Nothobranchius furzeri: one gene and its partners. The protein of the gene in region 4 interacts with the protein of the main gene of each other region in a biochemical or structural test. Links are inferred from orthologs where the notes say so. Each region holds a gene or a part of one and is shown on either strand. Other genes may lie near its edges.

What was found.
Region 1: the proteins of ptpn11a (region 4) and txnipa are reported together in a solved structure, tested with the Homo sapiens proteins (2 studies listed by BioGRID, with this or other methods). The link is inferred for Nothobranchius furzeri from reciprocal best matches to the Homo sapiens genes PTPN11 and TXNIP.
Region 2: the proteins of ptpn11a (region 4) and fibroblast growth factor receptor substrate 2 interact in a test that uses a peptide from one of them, tested with the Homo sapiens proteins (2 studies listed by BioGRID, with this or other methods). The link is inferred for Nothobranchius furzeri from reciprocal best matches to the Homo sapiens genes PTPN11 and FRS2.
Region 3: the proteins of ptpn11a (region 4) and insrb form a complex in vitro, tested with the Homo sapiens proteins (2 studies listed by BioGRID). The link is inferred for Nothobranchius furzeri from reciprocal best matches to the Homo sapiens genes PTPN11 and INSR.

The regions. Positions count from the first base shown.
Region 1 is NC_091751.1:26,063,861-26,068,755, forward strand, and holds txnipa (thioredoxin interacting protein a), read right to left. Parts: upstream 2,907-4,895; 5' UTR 2,723-2,906; coding exon 2,467-2,722; intron 2,390-2,466; coding exon 2,314-2,389; intron 2,212-2,313; coding exon 2,064-2,211; intron 1,755-2,063; coding exon 1,395-1,754; intron 1,323-1,394; coding exon 1,020-1,322; intron 940-1,019; coding exon 895-939; 3' UTR 337-894; downstream 1-336. UniProt on the Homo sapiens protein: May act as an oxidative stress mediator by inhibiting thioredoxin activity or by limiting its bioavailability.
Region 2 is NC_091744.1:79,870,341-79,874,445, reverse strand, and holds part of fibroblast growth factor receptor substrate 2, read left to right. Parts: intron 1-1,315; coding exon 1,316-1,502; intron 1,503-3,909; coding exon 3,910-4,044; intron 4,045-4,105. UniProt on the Homo sapiens protein: Adapter protein that links activated FGR and NGF receptors to downstream signaling pathways.
Region 3 is NC_091748.1:58,179,868-58,183,972, reverse strand, and holds part of insrb (insulin receptor b), read right to left. Parts: intron 4,099-4,105; coding exon 3,945-4,098; intron 3,757-3,944; coding exon 3,608-3,756; intron 1,837-3,607; coding exon 1,680-1,836; intron 1,040-1,679; coding exon 943-1,039; intron 850-942; coding exon 782-849; intron 1-781. UniProt on the Homo sapiens protein: Receptor tyrosine kinase which mediates the pleiotropic actions of insulin.
Region 4 is NC_091746.1:40,337,419-40,341,523, forward strand, and holds part of ptpn11a (tyrosine-protein phosphatase non-receptor type 11), read right to left. Parts: intron 2,057-4,105; coding exon 1,862-2,056; intron 1-1,861. UniProt on the Homo sapiens protein: Acts downstream of various receptor and cytoplasmic protein tyrosine kinases to participate in the signal transduction from the cell surface to the nucleus. Positively regulates MAPK signal transduction pathway. Dephosphorylates GAB1, ARHGAP35 and EGFR.

The DNA of each region.
Region 1 (4,895 bases), on a different chromosome or scaffold from region 4:
ACCAGCATCATCTTGTTTCTCTTCCATTCAGAATTTCAAGTTTAAACTTTTTAGGTATTGGTTTACAAGCACCTGAACAGGTGGAGCTAAGGAAAACAATCAGATCATTTAACATTGTGCCTTTAATAGAAAACAGACCCATAGGGCTTCTTACAAAAATACTTAACGTATAAATGATACATTAAAACATTTCCACATCAGCCATTCGCTGCAGTTCTGTTTGAGCCAACAGAAAAACTACAGAACCATCACAGAAATGTTGCCTGAGACAACTGGAGCTGATGTTCTAGAAGGTGCTTTCATCAGGTCTGAGTTGCTGAATCTCTGTTTTTCCAGCAAAAAAAAAAAAAAAAAAAAAAAAAAAAAAACTGCCAATGGCAAATCTCAGAAGTAGGTTCCTGGAAACTGGAAAATAAAAGTCATTCCAACATAAAAATATTGTTCAGAGACAACCTGGTCAGCAGACGTGGAGAAAGTACAAAGTGCTACAGGAAACATGAAGAAATGGCTTCAAACATCTGGAAACATCACTCAGCATTAGAGTTCTGTAATCTTCAGGAGAATGTTGTTCCTACACCTCAACGAAACAGCAGCTCCTTAAGTCCTGACTGGAATGATTCATGAAGACATCTCAGCAGGTTGGATCCAACTCAAATGCCTCTTGGGCCTGTGGACAGGCTCTGGAAGTGATGGCTTCAGGACTCCGACCCAAACAGCTCCAGGAGGGAGATTCTGCATCAGCATGGAAGACGAAGCATGGTAACAGGCAAGTGCATTTCTGTTCAACTCTCCATCCAACATCCCATCCCATCTGGAGTTTGGACCTTCAGCTTTTTGGAAGCGCTTTAGAAGAACAATCGGAGAGGTGGACAACCCCTCCAGGATTCGGGACTTTTAGCAGACAGGAAGCATCTGAGCATTCCCCTTGTACTCCTCAGCCTGAAAAACAAAAAAACCTTGAGATGTAATGCCACATGTAGCTTGGTGCTAGCCATGGAGCTAACTGGTGTGAGACCTACCTCAGAGTAGGCTGGAGGGGATGGGAACTGGAAGCTGGGAGCGTTCATAAAGATGGGACTGTCATCACAGTCCACATCATCTAGAAGAGGCGTGAGCGGCTGGTCCAGACGGCAGTCTTTAGTGATGTCACAGTAGCTCGGGGGTTCAGCGGGCATCCTGAGGGACACCCAGCTCTGAGAGGCAGTGCTGATCGAACCCTCCTGGCTGCTCACACTGTTAGTGCGACTGCCAATCCCAGATGTCCCAATGACCAGGGGCAGCTCCAGGATAAGCTTTTCACTGCCGGGGATGTGGATGTAAATCTGGGAAACAATGAGGAACCTTAACACCATGTTCCAGGGCTAACAGAGTCCTCCCATAGGAAGCAGACTTACCATCAGGGCGTACTCCACTCGGATGATGTTGCAGCCCAGCATGGACGGTTTGATCTTCGGCACCCTGATGGTCTTCCCCTGCCAGGCGTCGCACATCCCTGAGATGATGTGGTTTCCACGCACAGAGGAAAGCTTCTGGCGGAAAACTTTGGTGCGCCCGTTAGCCTGGTATGTGTGCTTGGCTATGATGGCGGCTTTCGGGACCACAATGCGGGAGCATGTGTTCTCAAATTTGGCGTTGATGCAGATGTCTTCACCCTCGCAGAAACCACGGCGGTCAATTTTAGCGTTGAGCGACACCTGGCCATCAGGGATGAACATGCAGGTGACTTTCTTCTCCTTCATGCCGCCAGCAGGAGACTGAAGACACAGGAAGCAGTTTGTCATCACCAGAACTGTGGTGGTGTGTAAAAAGGAGCTGCTGATTGGAACCAGTCATCATGCATGATTGTCTGTTACTGAAATAAAACCATCTGCCTCTCTGGGAGCAGCTTCTGAGTCCACTTCTAAACTTCCTGCATACGCCGGTCACGTGATACCTCTTATCTACTGTATCATGGTGGAACCACGCGCGCACACGCACAGGGAAACAGTGGGGTGTTTCCCATGTAAACAGAAGATCCGAAGTGAAACCAGATCGCTCTGGTTCTGACCCACTAGTGAACTCACCAGCAGGTCCGGAGTGTTCACATCCAGAGGTTCTTCCACCTCGAAGTACTTCTTGCTCTCCACCGTGGGCTGCTGAGGTCTCTCCATCTGGGCCTTGACATAGTACTGGACGTAACCGAACTTGCCCTTGTATGACGACACCAGCTGACTGAAAGTCCAGAACGAACACAGCAGACCTGTTAAAACCCAAGGCATTACCTCTAGAGGTCAGTGATGCGTCCTAGACCCAGATGGACTGGGTCCGACTTACCCCTGCTCAGGAAGGTCGAACCCAAACGGGTACTCATACTTGTTACCGGGTCTCAGAACTACGGATCCGTCCGAGTCTGAAAGATACACAGACGGTTGTGATCAGCATGTTGCTGTGATGATGCCCCAGAGAGAATCCCCGGACCCCATGTACCTGCGGGCTGGTCGCCCAGACTCAGAACCTCCTCGTACCGAAGGTACTCGGCCTCCTGGCGGCACCGCTGCTTGCCTTTAGCGTACTCCACCTTCGCGCAGCCCAGACCCAGCAGCTTGACGGCGGACACACGGGTCACCTCGGACACCTCCACCTCGACCCGACCGCTGACCCGGTCCCCGCCGCAGTAAAACGATTTGCACGGGTCCGACAGGACGACCTGGAAGGTTTTCACTTTTTTCGTCATTGCCACCATGTTTGCGTTCTGTTTCCAACTCGCGCAGCAATGTGAGCTTTTCGCGTTACAACGCCCGAAAGTTAGACAGCTATCCCCTCCTAAACCGCTCCCTGTTCTCTGCTGTAAACAAAGACTCTGACCGTTTTATACCAGCAGCGCGTGCAGAGCATGTGCAGCTGGGACGTCCGCTGTGACTCAGCGCGTGCACATGGCTCCGATTGGTCGAAATCCTTTGTTTGTCTCGCCTCCAGCCAATCAGCAGAAGAATTCAGCGCGTGAACACTGCATGGCAGTGAGGCTGCAGCGCGTGCTGAGCTGATGTGAGCACGAAGTTTGAGACAGAAACAGAAATGCTCCTCAGTTAGTAAACAGCTCGGAACAGGCACAATACTGGGGAATAAGAGTCAATATTAAAGGATATCATTCCTGATCCGCTGCACCTGCCGCTCCAGTTCGGCTTAGACAATATTGTTAGAAAACATTTTTAGTATAAAGGACATTATAGCTGAAGGAAAAACGGTTTCAAAATTACAAAATATGAGCAGATGGTTGAAAAAGCAGATAGATGGACAGTAATGCTGTGATGTAGATAACGTCCTGAACAGCCTCTGTTCAGAAAAATAGTTCAGGAGCAGTGGCGGTCACAGGGAGCGCTGGGGTGCCACCCTACCAGTCTCACAGGGAGATGAAGAAGAAGATAGAAATCCTAACATACTTTTAAAACACCCTGAAAATTCCATGAAATGATCTATAATTATACAGAGTATAAGTGCTCTGTTTATTCTGCATTTAAGTGTGGTTTAAAAATGTCCTCTGGAGGCTGATTCATGCTTCTCCGTCAGCTCCGCAAGGGACAGACACACACGGATTGACGGAAGTGTTTTGCTCTCATACTTCTTCGTCTCCTGGGAAGTGTTGCAAAGCAATTCCCCGTCAGGACAACAGAGGGCGTAGCGCTGTTCTGTGGTATCCTGTCATGTATCCAGTCCAACATAGTGTGTTTATATTGTGTTTTTTGTAAATAAGAGACTTTTTAACACGACAAATTTGTCTCTCATTCTCCTCCACCTCTTCATGCGCTCGCCACCTCTAAACCCACGTTTCCTGTCATTTCCGTCCACAAATAAAATGCTTGCTGCGTAACTTTTCACTCCTCCAGTCACGGGGCAATTAAACGTTCATATTTTAGAGTTTTTTCGCGAGGTATTCTTCAAGCTTCTCCGTGTCTGCCACTAGTTATTCTCGGCTTTCTTTATGATTTTGAGGGCGCAATGGCGGCGGTGTAGACGACAGTGGTGCCCTGACCAATCACAAGCTTGCGTTCTCCGTCTCGTTTGACGTATGTTTAAAAAAGTTGGCTCGACTCCGTACGTACTTGCGTGCCTGCCGGGGCCCTACGCAAGGACGGATAATGACGTTGCGTGTCTCCGCACTGACGCAGAAGGAGAAGCATGAATCAGCCTTTAGTCTTACCACGACCGAAAGGTCGTGTGATGCATTTCCTGTTTCTTTGGGGAGCAGAAATCTTTAAAATAGACTTATGGTAGTTGGGGCATGCACACTGGATCCCCCTCTTACACAAAGAATTTTTTGCGACTGAAGCACGCGCAGAAGACAAGAAGCTCTCCACAGTCCACCTCTGGCTAAGTGGCTGTGCTAATGCTGGTGCATTGTTGGGTTCCCCCTGCCTCATTGGGGCCTGACACAGATCAAGCCAGGATTCATACAGGTCATGGGCATTTTTAGCCCATTTTGGAGGGAGCTGAGGCACCCCTAAATTAAATCAATGCACCCCTAAAATTTGAGAATATGAAACATTTATTTTTACCATGTGTTTGAAAAATATAAAAAGCATATAGTGCTTGGTTGAAACATTATATTTCAACCACAAAAATGCAGCAAACCTCCCCCTCCTCAAAAGTGGTTTGATCCTGCTCACCTTTGACCACAGTCACCAATTCTTGTCATGTGTCTTTGCCTATGTATGTGTGACAGTGTGTGTCCTGTCACAGTGTCCCGATTGATCATGCACCCTGGCTACTTGGCCAAGGGGATGTCCCTTTGGCTGACTGGTTAGAGCGTATGACTCTCACCCGGGAGTCTGGGGATCGAATCCCGCCCGGGCCCTCGTTTATCCACCTTGCCACATGTGGCGTTGTTGGCAGGATCCATGCAGTACTGTCAAGTAGGT
Region 2 (4,105 bases), on a different chromosome or scaffold from region 4:
TTAACATATCGGTATTGGTTCGATAAATCAAACCGGGCCCATATTAACAACCGATATTTTTTCCATCTCGTCTCAATTTGTTTGCCTGTTTCAGAGGGTGGGGGTGGTGATGTGAATGAAATCATCTCAGAAGCGTGTGTGTGTGTGTGTGTGCGTGTGTGCGTGTGCGTGCGTGCGTGCGTGCGTGCGTAATAACATAAATTCAGCTTAAATTATTTCATTCTATACAAAATCTGCTTATTTTAGAAGCATTAATGTCAGAATATCTGTATCATGAGTATCGGTTATCGGCCACACCAGTGATCTTAATATCTTAATATATATTAATATCTTAATATATCCAAAAATGTAATATCGGTGCATCACTAATCGGTGCATCACTAGTCCTTTCTTCAGAAGGAAACAGCCACCATAAATCAGGTCATGTGGTAAGTAGCAGCTACGCTAGGGGGAGGAGATTCTGTGGTGACGTCATATATGCGACATACCGACATCTGGTGTGTAGTCATGCTAATTACAAACTTTTACCAGCTGATAAATCTCACAGTACGTGACTGGCGTGGTCGAAACATCATCATTACTTTTCACTTAAATAGACGTACAACTTGTGTGATCCAGGGCGTAAGGCAGAGCGGGTTAGGAGATGGCTTTTATCCCCATTGACTTGCATTCATTTTTTCGTTCCTCCGGGGACCCATGAGCCGACCGGAAGGGGAGGAGCCTTAGTGATTATATTAACCGTAGACCTCATAGGATTTGGGCATTTTAATGCCCAGTTATCAAAGTAAACAGCATTTTGTGCAGTGCCTGCCACTTCCGGACCCCCATCTGCATTTGGTGACATCTAGGTAACGTCATGTGAAACCTAGCAATAAGCAGCCATCCGCCACAACTCACTAGGGATGGAGAAGTTCGCAGGCACACACACACTAACAACTTATATCCCAAGTAGCGCTTCCATGGCTACATTGTGATTTCTTACTACATAAACGGCACCTTGGGGTTCCCTTTGCTCTGGGACACCAGGATGGAGAAATAGGCAACCCTCACGTCTCTGACTGCAGAGTTAAAGGAGGTCAGAAGGTCCTTTAGATGCAGCAGATGGACGTGGAGACGGGTTTTCTTCCACAAGCGCTCAACTTTTCTGCACTGTTGCTTCAGGCTGAAGTTAAACCAGAAAGTAGGGTTCACTGCAGGAGCTGATCGGGCTCTGACAGGACAGATGTTGTCCAGGATGGAGAGACAGCGCTCGTTAAAGCGAGTAAAGAATCTGTGTCATTATTAAGAGGAAAAATGTGACTGTGTTTGCTTCCAGGTGATTAATGTTGACGATGATGGAAACGAGCTGGGCTCAGGTGTCATGGAGCTGACCGAATCAGAACTCGTCCTTCACACCCATCGCCGCGATGATGTCAGGTGGCCATACCTGTGTCTGCGACGTTACGGCTATGACTCCAACCTGTTCTCATTTGAGAGTGGCCGGCGCTGCCAGACAGGCCAAGGTACACATGCCTATCCGAGTAACCTGCTCCACACTGGCCATGCTAACCAATCAGCTCACGCCTGTCAGCGATGGGGCATTTTAATACTGAAAACGCCACGTAGCTGCTCAGCAAGGGTGTGGCTTAACGACGAGCTCTTAGAGAGTGACAGCCCTAACCCAGAAAGGTGCTTCTGGGCCACAATAACCTTTGTGGCCCTCTGCAGTCAGAGGTGGCACCCACCATTTTTTTCTGATCTCATTGAACTAAGTTGGATCAGTACTTGTAAGATATCTATAGTCAGAAAGCAGCCAGAACCTCTGGACTAGTTCATCAACTTCCTGTTCAGCCTCAGGTAAAACCAACAGGTAAGGTAGGAAATGTGGTGGCATTTGGCTAAAGTTGCTCTGTGTCTAATGTTTCTCATGCATGCTGTCTGGACCATGGTCTGCTCAGGGTTGGGGTGGTATTGGTAAGTCTCAGATGGGTAGGCTGATCAGCTGATCAGTATTGATTGTGCTGTGGATACACAGGGATCAATATGTGTGTTGGTTTTGTGCACCCTACAGTCTCAGTGACTCGTGTGTTTGCGGCCTTTGGATGTGTTTTCCCTCTTCCTCGTCTGTCAGGTGTTGAAGTCAACTCCACGTTGTCCCATTAGACCTCCTGGTTCAGCCCCAGACTGTCGTCTCTCCACAGGTGTCAAATGGGCCATTCCCATCTGTACCGGGTCGGCCCGGGCCGGGTAGCGTAGGTTGTTTACATATCTGGGTGGCCTGGTATTTTTCCGGGCCAACCAAGGCTCATTCTCAGCCCTCTTCTCGAGGGGGTCTGCTTCAGGCCGACCAGGGCCAACACACCCACTGCTGACAGCAAATTCACACCTTCCATTAGAGCAAGCCTCTGATTGGTGGGTAGAATCAGCCCACATGGGCTTAAGACAAGGATGTGTGGAATCAACCGGGCCAGGCTGGGGCCGACTGGGGCTACCTGGCCCGGGCCGACCCGGTACAGATGGGAATGGCCCAAAACTCTGGTCCTCGAGGGCCGCTCTCCCACCTGTTGTAGTGTTTTCCTGTTTCAACACACCTGATTCCAACCAACAGGTGATTAGCAGGCTTCTGGAGAGCTTGATGAGCTGCTGCACAGGTGGATCGACTGTGTTGGAACAGGGAAACAACAAAAAGATGCAGGACACCGGCCCTGGACGGCTGGAGTTGACACCTGTGGCTTAGACCAACCAGGGGCACGTTAGCGCTGTGATGGAGTTAGTGGGCTGACCTGCTCTTGTGTTGATGGCCCCCGTGTCTGCTGAGCGTTTGTTGGACTTGGTATCTAAGCTAAGACCTGCTGGTTACCCACATTACCCCATGCTAATTAGAATTTTAGGATGTTTTTGAGTTGTTAACTCTAGGAATGGGCGATGTGGCCTAAAATCTCTATCGCCCTCATTTCTGAAGCTCATGTGGTGATGATACTTATTGCAATATGTTCTTTTCCTGTTTATACATGTCTGAATGACAATCTCGCATACCAGATGAACTGCAGAACAGATGAATCCAAAAAGTATTTGATTACTTTTCATGTTCAAAACTTATTTAAATTAAAATCCTTATGTTAAGGTTCTTTTTCCAATAAATGCAACAACTCAAAATGATCCAAAATGGGTTTAATGAAGGCAACTGGATTTCTTTGGTTTCACTTCTCGTCCAAGGAGCTCTGTCAGTTCAGACGGGAATATGGGAGAGTCGAGCTTAGAAGCTGTAGCTAAGGCTGATGGGGCCACTAGTGTACTGGGGAGTTGTACGGTGCCTGTCTGGTGACTTTAGGGTTTGGTTTCATCAAATATGTTGTGGTCAAACAGATCAGACCCTAAGAGGCTGAGTCCCTGACCATAGCCCTGACCACTTCCTGTCTGTAGACACTGGGGTTGCTCTGGATTTGGTCCAGATGTTTGGAAGAACTTGGTCTGCATTAGAGCTCAAATGACCGTCAGTTTTTGCAACTTTTCTGGTTTGCAGCTGCTCTGAAGGCTTTGATGCATTTCTGAGAACAGTCGTGTTCAGCATTTAGATGGTGAAGGGAACTGTCTGACTGCCTTGTCTGAGTGTGTCAGAAGCTTACCTGTCGCAGGTAAATCAGGAGGAGGACAGGTGAAGGGAGACCTGGAGGAGTTTATGGAAGGATGAATCCTTCTAATCAGCTGAGGAAACATCTTTAGCCACCTTGTTGCTGTTCAACTCTAAAACGTGTGTGTGTGTGTGTGTGTGTGTGTGTGTGTGTGTGTGTGTGTGTGTGTGTGTGTGTGTGTGTGTGTGTGTGTGTGTGTGTGTGTGTGTGTGTGTGTGTGTGTGTGTGTGTGTGTGTGTGTGCGTGTGTGTGTGTGTGTGTCTTGGTGGTTAATCATTTTCATTTTGTGTGTTTTCAGGTATTTTTGCCTTCAAATGTTCTCGAGCTGAAGAAATTTTCAACATGCTGCAGGAGGTGATGCACAATCACAGCATCAGTGTGGTGGAGGAGGCAGTGGTGGACCCCAATCAGCAGGGGGCGCTCACACCTGCAGGTACACACACACTCTGATTTTAGCAATGGTGAATTTTTTACGTTAAACTGTATATCGATGA
Region 3 (4,105 bases), on a different chromosome or scaffold from region 4:
ATTTTTGATTATGGTGCAAATTTTTCTACTTCATGTGACATAGCTTTCCTCAATATTTGAAAACTTAAACTTCACACACAACGGGTGTTTTTAATACACATTAAATGTGAAACATTTCTGACTTCTTTCGCCCAAAAATTCTGAGTTAAGTGTGTACAGCAGGGGGATTCAATCCCGGGCCTGGGCGGCCGGTATCCAGCATGTTTAGGTTTTAACGCTGCTTCAACACACCTGATTTTAATTAGTAGGCGATTAACAGGCTTCTGCAAAGCCTGATGAGCTGCTGCGTAGGTAATTCAACCACTGACTCTAGTGGGTTGGACTAGAGAAACCACTACAACGTGCTGGAATTGAATAGCCCTGGTGTACACCCTCCAGTTCACCTGAAATTCCTTTTTTTTTTTAAGTTTTATTTTTTATTAAAAACTGTATCTCTTACATAAAACTCAGACACAAACATTAATAAATGTACGACCATCACACTCTTCCGCCTCTCATTGATCACGACCGTTTTGAAGATGGTCAATAGTTTATGCACAGCAACTATTAGTTTGAGGTTTAACTTTAGGGTATCACAAGACTGTGGTTACCTTGGCAACGCAAATGAGCCACAGGCAGCAGCTTTAACATTTCTTTTGATTTTGGTTCTCTTTACGCTCCTTCAACTGCTGTCGGTGTTTGTAGAAACAGGTTGCCGTATATTTCAATTTTAGACATTAGCTGCAAAATTTTGCTGGAAAACGTATTCAGATGTGTTTTAGTTGTGTTACAAGACTCTTACTGTCATTGGCGCTGAAGTATTCAGGGTTTGGAGATGTGATGAGATCTCCTAATGGACCATCACTTTGCCTGCAACACAACCACAGGAAAAAAAATAAATCTGAGATGCTGTAAATGATCTCACGACACAACAGCACACTTGATGATGATGTCACATCTCACCTCTTCTTGATAACCAAAATGACACCAGCAGCCAGGAACAGCAGCAGAATGAGCAAGATGATCGGGCCGATCACAATCCAAGCTAAACCCGGATCAGCTGCAGTAAACAAAGAGTCAGTTCAGCTGGAGAACGGCAGAGTTTCACAGTGGAAAAAGATAAATTAGGTACAAAATGTAATAATAAACTTGTGAAATAGACTTGAACCAGGTTGTAGCCTGTGGGTTATTAGAGGAGGCATATTGGGACTTTTTTATTAGGTTCTAATAGTTCTATTGTCAGTGTAAAATATGTTTATGAAGCTCTTTGTAAAAAAAATCCCTCTCACATAGAGCCATATCAGCGGTTTTAATTCTGATAAGTTTCATAACTTCCAGAATGAGCCTTTTCAGGGCTCTGTCACTTTAAGAAAACAAGCTGCAGACCGGCCACGCCCACCAGTCACCCACTCAGGATGCTATTGGCTGCTCCTCCAGCAGCAGCTCTTTCTTGCACATGAGAAACTGTTCTATTCTACTTTCCCCATTTGTGATATCACAAACAGGGACCTTTTGAAACGGATTGTTTTAGGCAAATAATTCCTAAAACTAAACATTTTCCCCATGTTAGGATTTTTTATAAAGACAGTAGAGACCCACATGGCAGCACAAAAAGATGCAAAAAGTGTTATGTCCCCTTTAACAAATGCAAACAAATACCAAAAGTTTAGTTAAGTTAGAGATGGAGTCTCCAGTCTTACGATTAGGCATGAAGAAGTACGTCGTTTCTGTAAAAGAGCCGTTTCCTGCCAGCGACGTAGCCCGAACCCTCACGCTGTAGTTTCCAGGGTGAACAAGGTGGAGCTTGGTCCCGCTCATGTTGACGTAAGCCGGCCGTGACACACAAACTGTGTGAACCTGGAAGAACGTATGAAAAACACAGTTTAGCATCAGTGAGGGCGACAGGAAAAGCAGCTACTTCACCCAAACCATAAAAATGGATTTAGCAAAGAGAATATGGAAATGGTCATTTAGCAAAATATGCTGAACATGTACGCAGCTTTAAAAACACCAATAGGTGAGAAGGAAATGCTTCACTGAATTTCAATAATTCTCTTGACCTATGAGGTAGAAAATTTTTTTGTGACTATCTAGTCTGACTTCTGCTGTTCACCCGAGTCACTTGTTTGGTTTCTTTTATACTAGTCAGAAAAACAGCTTGGTTTTATAGTTGATGGAGAAGTTGGTAGAATTTATAGTAAATGGACACATTTTTTTTGCCCATCCAGTGATATTTTTTTTAATAATCATAATTATACCAATAATAACCTAAATGAAAAATGCATCGGTTGTTTGAAAGAGCTAAAGTTTGCAATGCTTTCAGAGTAGTGCAGTGGAGATGCACCTCCATCACTGCTGCATTAGAGCCTTCTGCTTCTGTTACTATAGCAACAGAGTTGCTGATGGTGGTGCAGCAATGAATAGCAGTGAGATTATTTACACATTTGCTGCAAGTAAACAACAACACTGAACACACATGCTGTTGCACACACAGTCAAAGTTCAACACGGACACACCCACCCACTAGAAAGCGTTAGTGTGTACACAAAAACAAGTTTACATAGTAATAGAAACAATCACCAATTGTCTTATGGTACATTCTTAAAAATAGGAGACAAACAATTGCCACACAACATCAAAATTGTCAGCTGACCCTTTCAGACCATGTCTGATCCTCTCCAGGTCCAAATGATTCATAATTTCTCCAATAAAGTGGTTGAGGCCGAGCATCTTTCCACTCGGACAGGATGGCTCACAAATAGCATAAAGCTATTATGTGCTGTTGGCTACCATCTGCTGTATCGTCCACTGTGACCACCACAAACAGAGCAGTCAAGGGGTCAGGGTGCACAGTGGTCGCACAAATCCTAGAGAGTTCATCAAAATTGGGCCTCCAATATCCCTGTCGTGTCAGGCAGGTCCAGAACAAGTTGGGTCTAAGTCTGGCTTCATTATTGCAGTCTGTCTTTGGACCAAAGCAAATGGTGCACCACTTTGAGCTAAATAATACTGTGTCTCACGTCTTGTGCCAGGCCTTTTCTGACAATCCAACACCCAGGTCCAGCTCCCATTTCTGTTTTGAAACGTCCGGACTGATCCGATGGTGTGAGCTGAGCCAGGCGTCACCTTTACTCAAAACCTTAGATGTCCGGCAGTCCAAGATCTCATCGAGTAGAGTCCGAGATGAGCACAGGAAGGCATTCAGAATGAGATTTGACAAAGTTTCTCAGTTACGGCCACAGCCATTTGTTTTTCTTTTGGTGCATGCTCCTCTTTCCCTTCTGATTTCATCCTTGTGCTGAGAGGCGCTATTCTACAACAGCTGTCTCATCCCACTCTACCTCGCTCCGCCCTAAAGCACCCAGTTCACAATCGGCCTAAAACACGCCTGGACCCACCCTCAGCGAGGAGCAAACGGAGACATCTGTCTCTGGCCTGCTGTCTCCTCAGCATGCTTTGTATCCTTTTTTGTAGTCGGTATGTGTTTTGTGTGTTTTATCCAAATTATCGAAGGTGGGGGAGTCCTTAATTAGATGTGTGTGTAGTGTAGTTTTAATCTGCGTTGTTTGGGTAAAGGTTTATGCCTGACGTCAGGAGCACTCCATGTTACCGTGTTGTTGACACGTACCTCTGTGTCTCCGACCTTCTTGTAGAAAACCTCGTAAAGGATGATGAGTCCATTGGGTGATCGAGGCGCGTTCCACTTAATCAACACGTAGGGAGGTTCAGCGACCACAACATCGTGAGTCACAGGACCTGGGATATCGTCTGCTTTTTCTGCCAGAGCCACACAAAGACAGAAACATTTGAGCAAACTGATCTCTACCTAGCATTTTGCACCCGTGATGATGGTATACTTTGTGTTTTTTTATGTGACCAATGCACAAGCGGGTGTCATTTGATCAAAATCAAACTAAAAGTAAATCTGTATGTTTAGATGAAGCAAAAATAGTTTGATATCTCACCTTCTGGCATCGTTCGGGCACTGACGTAAGTCGCCAGGCTGCAGCGTTTGGGGTCTTCAGGGTGGTTGCAGGCCATGATCTCGATGGTGTAGCTGGTGAAATGGTGCAAGTTGGATATGACTGCTGACTCCTTAGAGGTAACATTCAGCTCCACCTGAGCA
Region 4 (4,105 bases):
ATGGAGAAAATCTACAGTCTGTCTTCTTTAGAAATGCGATTTTGTTCAGAAACTTTGATTTATTATAAAATAAATCATTTTTTATTTGTACTAAAATGCGCTCATGCTCAAACCCCAAATAACAGTGTTGTGAAAAGACCAACAAGGCACTCATATTCAATAACTACTACAGAGGAGCATTTGTCATTATTAGACGACAGATAATAAAAACCTTGAAATCTGATTATATGTTGGCTCTCTCAGTCTTCTGAGATGAAAAGTGTCCAATCTAAAATCAGATTTAGGAGTGGTTCATTCATTTAAATGTTTGCTGAACCCTGAAGGACAACAATATTATAATTTTCTTCAAAGGAACATAAAGAAAAAAGTATTACAGCCCCAAATTACAATGTTGGACCGGAGGATTGTTTGTATTTGAAGCATCCCTCTGTCCCTCAAAAACCCACAACAAACCAGGAGATAATTACAGCACGGCTGAAAAAAACTAAATAAAATCAGAAATCACAAACTTCATTCTCACATACATGTGGTCTCAGTTTTAATAAACGCCGACTCCAGGAAGCCTAAATGCCTTCCCCTCCTGTCGGCTCAGGGGTCCTCTGAACTAAAAGGAATGAATATAAGTGAACGGGACTATATAAGGTATTTTTGGTCCGCTTTGCCTTCCTATGTGTATTTTCTGGCTTTCAGTTATTTTCTTCACTTTACAATCCCAGAAGGTACAAATCAGATATGCTAACAAAAACACCATGACTGGTTCCAAATCAGTAAGGAATTCTCTCTCTTTTCCTCCTCTGAGGCTGCATGTAAACATCGCAGCTCTCTGTCTAAAGCCAAAAGAACCAGAAACATTGCCCCAGTCATTGGTTTCAGTGTGTGTGTTAGCATGATCACTGCAATGAAACACAGTAAAGATGGACCAGACAGAAACTCCATCTGACACTTTAAAGCAAGGGTCCTCAACTACATGTGTTCAAGTGCCAGATGCTCTTCCTAAATACAGTTCAAGTATTATTGTATCCTAATTTGTTAATATTTAAAATTTGTTTTCCATCTAAACTGCTTTGATTGTATTTTTGTGTTTGGAGAACGTAAACCATTATTGATATTTGGGACATGAATTTTGCTGCTAAACTTCAAAAGAAAGAAACAAAACAATTGTTTATAAAGCACCTCAAGATAAAAATCATGAAGCACTTCACAAAAACAAAAAAATGAAAATGAAATGAAAAGAAAGATAAAAAAAATGATTAAAAAAGTCCCCCAATTGGGGGGCATTAGGGCCCAAAGGGCTAGGGGGAGAGGTGTGATGGACCAGATGTGGCCCGCTGGCCACCAGTTGAGGTTCACTGCTTTAGAGTGTTTTGTTGACAGATTTGGGCAGATTTCGCACACACACAACAGAACATAGATAATTATTCAGTCTGGAACCCAGAAACAACATCTGTGGCGTGTCAACATCTGCTGCTGGTCCTCCGTGAAATCACAACCATCACAACAGACTGCTGTAGCCAAGTCCAAACAGCACATGCACGATTCCTCTTTTTATATATTACTGCATCATTATACTAAAGTAATGAAATGTAAGATTTAAAATACATTTTTGTTCTTTGCATCTCTCATTGAATTTTTGGATTCATGCCCAAGAAACCGCTTTTTTAACTTGAAAACAAATGAAGGAAAGAATTGTTTGATAGAATTTTAACAAAAATCGTGATTCAGATTTTATCAGAAGCCTCTTGCACCACACGGGCGAGTGTTTCAGCTCGATGTTTTTACTTTTGTCACTTTACTTTCTAAAAATCACCAAGCATTGCATAAAAATGCACATTCAAGTAGAATCATGGACATGAGCTCATACCTCTCCGACGTGGGGTCTGCACAGTTGAGTGGATACTTGAGCTCGATGACGTCTCCATTTTTCTCTTTCAGCTGCCCATGATGCTCCATGTAATACTGCACCAGCTCTGCAAGAGTGGCAAACTTCTCCCCACCGTAGAGGTCGTAGTAGTCCCCTGTATTTTGAATCTTAATGTGGGTGACAGCTCCATTTCGCCTAAACACAAGACCAAATAAGGGAACAGAATCAGACAGGTGTAAGAGCTCATCAGCAGAATCCAACAAGAAGTCTGCGGCTCATAAAAAATCCTGTCAGCGCAGATCGCTGTAGAAAAGTAATCCCTAAAATATTCCAACAGTCTAGTCCAGCTGCATCTTCAAAAACAACGATGAAAGAAATCACGTTTCTAGCAGATTAAAAGTCCACATGGTGTGTTTTTATAAGCCAAACTACTGAGCTTGAGCTAAATCAGTGGTCAACATTATGGCAGAATTGAAGATGAATGCGTGAACGTTTCAAAATCCCAAAAAAGCCAGTGTTTACAACTTTACAACCATAATGAACCAATTCCTTCTTACATGCTGAAACTAGACAAGATCTATTTAGCAATAGCAGCTAATTCTTAGAGAGTGTAATCCTGTGTTCCTGCAGAAATACGGAAATGTCTGAGCTGATTTCTGAGTTAGCAGAAACAACAGGCTAAAGCCGGGAAGGGTCATTTACACAATCATTAATATGGCATTGGGTTAAGATGTAGAGGTTCGTGAGCCGTTTAAAGCTACAGAGGGTTCATTCTCATCAAGAGGAAACTAGTAAATGTTACCAGACATGAAAAAGTCTTGTAATCAACACCAGGAGATAAAGTATAGCAGGGTAGAAATATGTGAGGGTTAAATAACTGTCACTAAAACATAATGCTGCAATTTCAATACCCCCTTATAAAGCAGAAAACCAGATATGAGCATTTATTATACAATAGCAGGAATATTCAGCTCTGTATCCCGAGTCCTTTCTGTGCAGAGTGTAACAGAATCAGATGTTGTCTCTACAGAATAACTCCACTGTTGTATGTCACTGATGAAGAATAGATCTGAAAGACAAAACTGTGTTTCATTTAGCTATTCAAACCAGACAGACAACCAACTACTGAGTCACACATGATCACCATTATCTCAGAAATAGAAAAGAAGAACTTGTGGCAGAGCTGGACCTGAGCAGATTTTAACGGCCTCACGGGGAATTCTGCAGTGAAGGAGATGTGCTGGTTAGAACCAGCAACAACTGGTTTCCCCATGGAAATGTCTGCTTTTGTCTCTGTGTGAAGTGCATACTGAGTACGACGGGAGACCGTACTGTTAGAATATGAAACTGCAGCAAAAATAACTTTGTCTACATCAGCCAAATTGACTTAATGACACTTCCTCTCACAAACGTATGACTCGACAGGCCCAGAGATAAAACCAGCTACTTTATTTTCATTAGTTACATTTTGGCTATCGCTTGGATAATGTTGGCGGTCTCGCTACATTCAAAACTACGAATCAAGCAGAATTGGATGCAAGTTATTTCCATTTTGGTGTAAAACACTCCCACAGCAACAGGCACGGTCAAAGTTTGACCTGATATAAACATTATTAAAGAGTCACTTATTTGCACATCCAGAACATACTGAGCAAGCCATCATTTCTTTCAAGTCATATTTGTGCTGGTGTAAGGCTAAGTCTGATGTTTGTTCTCTGAGTTGCTCTGCATCACATGCACATCAGAGGTCATCAGCCTGAACATCTGTCTGTTGCATCTGGACAAAAGACTAAAGCCTCATTTACACCAAGTGTGGAACAGATGCAGATCAGAACTAGAGGTCGACTAATATTAGCTCATCTATTGCCAATAGCGATGCCTATATGTAAAGGTCGTGGTCAGCCGATGGCCGATGTGCTGATGATTTTCATGGCTGATATCTGGGCATTTCCACCTTACTTTCATGCTGAAATGGCACTAAAACATCAGTTGATGCACAACATTTCTGAAACCAATTCAGGTTTTGAACACTGAATTTAACTAACTGGTAAATCTTAATTTATGCACTGCTCAGAGTGAAAATCAGACATCTAACTGAAGTTAATCAAACAAATCAGTCAACTGACCAAGTATTAAATGTTCAAAACTGGTATATAAAAACAAATTTTAGCTGAAAATAAGAGCATTTTTTACACAGATGTTCTTCAGGAACGTAAATATACATTTAAATTAAATTCTGCAGCA